2 linked regions of the Macaca mulatta genome follow. The protein of the gene in region 1 purifies or fractionates together with the protein of each later gene. This does not show direct contact. Links are inferred from orthologs where the notes say so. Each region holds a gene or a part of one and is shown in the gene's direction. Other genes may lie near its edges. The genes, in order: SCAP and SREBF2.

Region 1 (3,810 bases):
GTCCTGGGTGAGAAGGGTGTGGACCTTGGGCAGGGCAGTGGTCCTGTGCGGGCGCCCTCTGGATGGTGGACTCGGGCCCTGACCACTGTGCCCCCAACAGCTAGCGGACCTGAACAAGCGGCTGCCCCCTGAGGCCTGCCTACCCTCAGCCAAGCCAGTGGGGCAGCCAACGCGCTACGAGCGGCAGCTGGCTGTGCGGCCGTCCACACCCCACACCATCACGTTGCAGCCGTCTTCCTTCCGAAACCTGCGGCTCCCCAAGAGGCTGCGTGTTGTCTACTTCCTGGCCCGCACCCGCCTGGCACAGCGTCTCATCATGGTACCTGCCACCCCTGCCCTGCCCTCTTCTGGAGGGCCAGCGCTCCAGGCCTCTTGTGGTGCTGCACTTGTCCTTAGAGTGGCGAGGGATGCTCCTCAGGCTCTGGTGGCCCCTGGAAACCTGGCTCTGGGGAGCTGCCTGTTGTGTCCTCCCTGCCCAGACCCTGGTGGCTTCTGAGGAGACAAGCCTGTGGGAGAAGCAGCTCCAGGGCTCTCAGGTACAGGAGCCATCCTCTCCCGAGAGTGGCCCAGGACAGGAGCCTGTTAGTCGAGTGCTCTGGGATGGACCCACCTGTGGCCACATTTCCCTGGGCCACATTTCATCGGCCGCTGCATGGTGTGCAGACAGTGGAAAGTGCTGGGCAAAATCAGTCACCAGCCAGGCTGCGCTGGCTGCGGGGCAGCAGTGCCTCTCCCAGGGAGCTGAACTGAGACGGGAGGAAGGCTGAGGCTCCCTGAGACTAGGCCCTCTGGGGGACTCTGGAGCAGGTCAGGCAGCTGGCCCTCTGGCCATGCTGACCATATGAATGGTAGCAGCTTTCTGATCCCAGCTGAGGTGGAGATTAGGGACCGGGACATTCTGTGTCAAACCTCAGGGTGGTTCAGTCTATTTCCAGGCCAAGAAACTCAGCCCCTAACTGTGGAAAGGGAAGCAGGCCCTCCAGCAGCAAGTGCTGGCAGGTGTTAGCAGGAGGACTCGGAGAGGCAGGAGGAAAGCACACAGTGGGGCCTGTGTCCTCTCTCCATCCCTAGGCCTCAGGTCCCCGTGCTGCTTTCCTCTCAGCATGAGGGCTGAAGCTGCTGGGGTTGAGGCCCATTCCTCCCACTGAGTACCCTGCTCCACTGCAGGCTGGCACCGTTGTCTGGATTGGCATCCTGGTATACACAGACCCAGCAGGGCTGCGCACCTACCTCGCTGCCCAGGTGACGGAACAGAGCCCGCTGGGTGAGGGAGCCCTGGCTCCCATGCCCGTGCCTAGTGGCATGCTGCCCGCCAGCCACCCGGACCCTGCCTTCTCCATCTTCCCACCTGATGCCCCTAAGCTACCTGAGAACCAGACATCGCCAGGCGAGCCACCTGAGCATGGAGGTCCAGCAGAGATTGTCCATGACAGCCCAGTCCCAGAGGTAACCTGGGGGCCTGAGGATGAGGAACTTTGGAGGAAATTGTCCTTCCGCCACTGGCCGACGCTCTTCAGCTATTACAACATCACGCTGGCCAAGAGGTGAGCTGGGCCATGCCAGGTGCCACCTCCTCACTCGATGGTGTCAACTCATCATCCCCTTTCCCCAATGTAGTAGGCCCACAGTTTGAATTCTGCAAATAATTAAAACAATTCATAAGGTTGTGAGGTGGGAACTGGTGGTCTAGGCAGCCATAACCCAAGAGCAACCCCAGGTTCCTCTGAGGAGTCACAGGTGGCTGCCAGCCCTTGCTAGAATGAGACCCACCCACCTGTGCCAGGAGTGGGGAGGGAGATACCCCACACGGTCAGAAGGGCTGCTTGGGTGCTGGTATCTGGGACAGCAAGGTTGGCTGCTAGGCTGGGCTGGGGAGGGACCTACCTCTGTCCCCAACCCCCATGCTGGGAGAGTCTGGCCGGTGGAGCTGAGGCGTGCCTGGGGAGGAGGGAGCGGACTGGCTGGCAGGCACAGTAGGAGGAAGCCTTGGGAGGGGGTCCCCCGCTGAGGCTGCCCACTGTCCGGATCCAGGTACATCAGCCTGCTGCCTGTCATCCCAGTCACACTCCGCCTGAACCCGAGGGAGGCCCTGGAGGGCCGGCACCCTCAGGATGGCCGCAGTGCCTGGCCCCCACCGGGGCCCATACCTGCTGGGCACTGGGAAGCGGGACCCAAGGGCCCAGGTGGGGTGCAGGCCCATGGAGACGTCACACTGTACAAGTAAGGTTGCTGGGTGGGGTGGGGTGGGATAGAGTGCGGGGAGGGGGACAGGTGGGCAAGAGTAGGGGAGAGGGAGGAGGGGAGGGGACAGGCTATGAGGTGTGTCTCACAGCAGTCCGCCTTCCCGTGCAGGGTGGCGGCACTGGGTCTAGCCGCGGGCATTGTGTTGGTGCTGCTGCTGCTCTGCCTGTACCGCGTGCTGTGCCCGCGCAACTACGGGCAGCCGGGCAGCGGGCCCGGGCGGCGGAGGCGCGGAGAGCTGCCCTGCGACGACTACGGCTATGCGCCACCTGAGACGGAGATTGTGCCGCTGGTCCTGCGCGGCCACCTCATGGTGAGCGGGGGCACAACGGCCAGGCAGGGGAGGGCTGGGGCCTGGCCCACACCAACACCAGGCTCCCGCAGGATATCGAGTGCCTGGCCAGCGACGGCATGCTGCTGGTGAGCTGTTGCCTGGCAGGCCACGTCTGTGTGTGGGACGCACAGACCGGGGATTGCCTCACGCGTATCCCGCGCCCAGGGTAGGTGCGGCTGCCCTCTCCTCTGTGACCCCCCACCCCCCTCACCCCACCACCTACCCCGTGCAGCCATGTCTCTCTCCTCCTTTCTCCCTCTGACGTATCCCCCAACCCCTCCAGGCTCCCTCCCACCCCCACACCGCACCCTCTCCGCTTGTCCCCTCTAATGGCCCCTCACTTCCCCCTCTCACCCTTTCCCCCTCCCCCACACCCCCTCTCACTCCACCATCCTGGCCCCCAGCAGGCAGCGCCGGGACAGTGGCGTGGGCAGCGGGCTTGAGGCTCAGGAGAGCTGGGAACGACTTTCAGATGGTGGGAAGGCTGGCCCAGAGGAGCCTGGGGACAGCCCTCCCCTGAGACACCGCCCCCGGGACCCTCCACCGCCTTCCCTCTTCGGGGACCAGCCTGACCTCACCTGCTTAATTGACACCAACTTTTCGGCGCAGCCACAGCCCTCACAGCCCACTCAGCCTGAGCCCCGGCACCGGGCGGTCTGTGGCCGCGCTCGGGACTCCCTAGGCTATGACTTCAGCCGCCTGGTGCAGCGCGTGTACCAGGAGGAGGGGCTGGCGGCCGTCTGCACACCAGCCCTGCGCCCACCCTCGCCTGGGCCGGTGCTGCCCCAGGCCCCTGAGGACGAGGGTGGCTCCCCTGAGAAAGGCTCCCCTTCCCTTGCCTGGGCCCCCAGTGCGGAGGGTTCCATCTGGAGCTTGGAGCTGCAGGGCCACCTCATCGTGGTGGGGCGGAGCAGCGGCCGGCTGGAGGTGGGCAGAGGGGCTAAAGGTGGGCAGAGCGGCTGTCCACCCCGGGGATTGTGGGCCTTTCTGGTGGGCAGGTGCTCACAGCCTCTGGACTTAATAGGTGTGGGACGCCATTGAAGGGGTGCTGTGCTGCAGCAGCGAGGAGGTCTCCTCAGGCATTACCGCTCTGGTCTTCTTGGACAAAAGGTGAGTGTGGCCTGCCCCAGCCCCAGATGTCCCCAGCCTTTGTTGGCTAGGCCATACTCAAGATATCTTGAGTCTTGAGTCCTGGTTCCTGTCCACTGCTGCACTGTATGTTTCGATTGACCTTC
Region 2 (3,810 bases), on another chromosome or scaffold:
CTGGTCCAGCCTCAGATCATCAAGACAGATTCCCTTGTTTTGACCACGCTGAAGACAGATGGCAGCCCTGTTATGGCTGCGGTCCAGAACCCAGCCCTCACCGCCCTCACCACCCCTATCCAGACGGCTGCCCTTCAAGTACCAGTAAGAGCTGCCTTCTCCCCCACCTTCCCCCTTTATTCCTGGAGGTGTTAGTCTTCAGAGATGTTAAATCTCTGTATGCTGAGTAGGTATGGGAGGGTCTATAGCACGAATCGGTCAAATTGTAAATGTCACTCCTCTTAGTCGTTTTTTTTGCTCGAGAAAGTATTACCAAGGTGTGTTAGATGTGGGAGTACTGGGGTCTACAAGGAAGTAGAAAAGAATAGCAGAAGGACCCTCTATTCTTGGCTAATAGCTCCACACAGGACCATTCACCTCTTAGGTCCTGCTAAGGACCCTAGGGCCACCAGGCAGGGAAGGGCTCCAAGGTGAGGGACATGGAAGGTACCCCATCCTTCAGTTGTAGGTTCTTAGCCACTTTCAGCATCCTATAGCATGAGAATCTGATAGAGTAAATGGTGATTAAAATTTGGAAGCACTAGCTTTATTCATAAAAGCCAAGAACTGAAAGCAACTCAAATGTCCATCCACAGGAGAATAAGCACATTGTGATATATTCATACAACGAAATTATGCCTAGCAATTAAAAAAAAAGAACGGCTGACAGGCACGGTGGCTCACGCCTGTAATCTCAGCACTTTGGGAGTTTGAGACCAGCCTGGCCAACATGGTGAAACTCCATCTCTACTAAAAATATAAAAATTAGCCGGGTATGGTGGCACGTGCCTGTAATCCCAGCTACTCAGGAGGCTGAGGCAGGAGAATTGCTTGAACCTGAGAGGTAGAGGTTGCAGAGAACCGAGATCGCACCACTGCACTCCAGCCTGGATGACAGAACGAGACTGACTCTCAAAAAAAAAAAAGCTACTGATGCATGAAACAACATGGGGCTGTCCCTCAGAAATAGTGTGTCAAGCCAAACGAGCCCATCACAAAAGAGTTCATGCTAATGATTCCATTTATATAAAGTTCAAAAAGAGACAAAATGAAGCTATGGTGCTAGAAGTCAGAGCAGTGGTGCCAAGGAGGGGAGGGGCATGCAGGAACCTTCTGAGCTGAGCTGGTAGAAATGGGCTATATCTTGGTCTGGGTGGTTATATACATTGTGTACATATGTAAAATTCATCAAGCTATAAACTTAAGATGTGTGGTATTTATTGTGCATGATGTACTTATTGGCAACTAATGAAATTGGGCACCTTTTTATTTATTTATTGGCCGATTAGATATTGAGGCCATCATTCAAGAAAATAAACTAAAATTGGTCCGGACCCAGTGGCTCATGCCTGTAATGCCAGCACTTTGGGAGGCTGAGGCAGGCAGATCACCTGAGGTCAGTGGTTCGAGACCAGCCTGGTCAACATGATGAAACTCCATCTCTAATGAAAATGCGAAAACGAGCCAGGCGTGGTAGCAGATGCCTGTAATTTCAGCTACTCAGGAGGCTGAGGCAGGAGAATCACTTGAACCCGGGGGGTGGAGGTTGTAGTGAGCTGTGATCACATCACTGCACTCCAGCTTGGGGCAACGGACTGAGACTCTGTCTCAAAAAAAAAAAAAAAAAAAAAAAAAAGAGCTGGGCGTGGTATCTCATGCCTATAATCCCAGCACTTTGGGAGACTGAGGCGGGCAGATCACCTGAGGTCAGGAGTTCTAGACCAGCCTGACCAACATGGAGAAACCCTGTCTCTACTAAAAATACAAAATTAGCCAGGCGTGGTGGCGCATTCCTGTAATCCCAGCTACTCCGGAGGCTGAGGCAGCAGAATCACTTGAACCCCGGGAGGCGGAGTTTGCGGTGAGCCGAGATCACACCATTGCACTCCAGCCTGGGCAACGAGAGCAAAACTCCGTCTCAAAAAAAAAAGGAAAGAAAATAAAGTTAGAAAAAATAAGAGGAGAAAACAGAGATGAAGAATAAAAAGAGGGGACCTCCATGGTTGGCCTATTTACTTAATCGAATGGCCCTGATTGAGAGTGTCACTTCTGCCCTTAAGCTTTTTGATGGCGAAATTGTATAAAGAAATGCAGTAATTTGCTTAATTGTCATTTGAGAGGAAAAAATGTGTCATACACTAGGAGGAAGTTTTCTCCGGTACCAACTCGTGGTTCACCGTGTAGAAGTTTAGAAGTGGTTAACAGTTTGACAGCACAGCAGAAATCATGACTTGTTTCTGGCATACCTAGATCAAAACTTAAAACATATTTAGCCATGTTAATCCTCTTGTGTAGTTTATCAGTGTTGATTCTGAAGGTAGGTAGTAACCGAGGTGCCGTGGCTCCTGAGGCGTCTTGGGGCCTGATTTGATTAACTCAGGAAGAGTCTTAGACCTCATGAAGTACTGCCAGGTCTGGCAACACTTGGCCAGGGTAGGCAGGTCTGTGTTGAGGTTGCTTTATGCAGACTAACAAAGGGTTCATTCTGCTCTGTACCTGTGCCTATTCTAGACCCTGGTGGGCAGCAGTGGGACCATTCTGACCACAATGCCTGTAATGATGGGGCAAGAGAAAGTGCCCATTAAGCAGGTACCTGGGGGAGTCAAGCAGCTTGAGCCCCCCAAAGAAGGAGAAAGGCGGACAACCCACAATATCATTGAGAAACGATATCGCTCCTCCATCAATGACAAAATCATCGAATTGAAAGACCTGGTCATGGGGACAGACGCCAAGGTGGGTGCCAAGCAAAATCGTGTTTTATGTTCCACCATGTCCCCTCTACCTGTTTTTGCTTCAGGAGCTTAGAGAAGTCCCAGACTCAAGGTAAGTGAATACAAGACCAAGTTAGAGGTACTTTTTTATTAAAGCATCTTGGTATTGTGTCAAGATTATAAAATATTAAAAACCAGAAGGGTACTGGTGAGGGTTGATGAGGCAGTGACCCACTGAGACCTTTGACTCCTTCGGCTGTGCTCTGCAGTGATGGGGGACTCCACTGTCAGAGGCAGAGAAAGATGCCTGCCACTCAGTAGTTCCAGATACAGGACTGTGTGTGCCTTGGAGTCAGCTGATGGCATCGTTTTAGCTGTGTTTAGGGGTTACCTTTTAGGGAAAAGAAAGAAAAAAGAGGTTGAGTCTTTGACCAGCAACAAATAGAGGAAATTGATTTTCCAAATGTTTCTGGTGTTTTCACTGAATGTGTCTTCTGGAAAGTAGGAGATTTTATTTTTAAAACCTATCTATGTTTAAACCCTATTTTGAAAGAAAATTTCATTATTTTCCTTGTTGCCTACAAATCTGAAAAGTATGCATCCTAAGTAAAAATCTATGCCTTAAGATAACTGTCCAGGCCAGGTGCTGTGGCTCACGCCTGTAATCGCAGCACTTTGGGAAGCTGAGGCGGGTGGATCACGAGGGCAGGGGTTCAAGACCAGCCTGGTCAACATGGTGAAACCCCATCTCTACTAAAAATACAAACAATTAGCCAGGTGTGGTGGCAGGCGCCTGTAATCCCAGCTACTCAGGAGGCTGAGGCAGGAGAATTGCTTGAACCTGGGAGGCGGAGGTTGCAGTGAGCCGAGATGGTGCCATTGTACTCCAGCCTGGGCAACAAGAGTGAAACTCTGTCTTGGGAAAAAAAAAAAAAAAAAAAAAGATAGCTGTCCAACAATGCTGTGGTGTTTTGTCATTTGTTTTCCTTAAAGTTTGTTTTTATGCTAGGATTATTGTAAGAAGTAGGAACAATAGCTAATATTTATTGAGTGTCAACTG

Evidence for each region.
Region 2: the proteins of SCAP (region 1) and SREBF2 purify together in Homo sapiens (affinity purification with western blotting; 3 studies listed by BioGRID and IntAct, with this or other methods). This does not show direct contact. The link is inferred for Macaca mulatta from reciprocal best matches to the Homo sapiens genes SCAP and SREBF2.

Annotation. Positions count from the first base shown.
Region 1 is NC_133407.1:110,776,220-110,780,029, reverse strand, and holds part of SCAP (sterol regulatory element-binding protein cleavage-activating protein), read left to right. Parts: intron 1-100; coding exon 101-319; intron 320-1,167; coding exon 1,168-1,544; intron 1,545-2,031; coding exon 2,032-2,220; intron 2,221-2,352; coding exon 2,353-2,554; intron 2,555-2,625; coding exon 2,626-2,741; intron 2,742-2,979; coding exon 2,980-3,502; intron 3,503-3,599; coding exon 3,600-3,685; intron 3,686-3,810. UniProt on the Homo sapiens protein: Escort protein required for cholesterol as well as lipid homeostasis.
Region 2 is NC_133415.1:9,629,454-9,633,263, reverse strand, and holds part of SREBF2 (sterol regulatory element-binding protein 2), read left to right. Parts: coding exon 1-144; intron 145-2,550; coding exon 2,551-2,772; intron 2,773-3,810.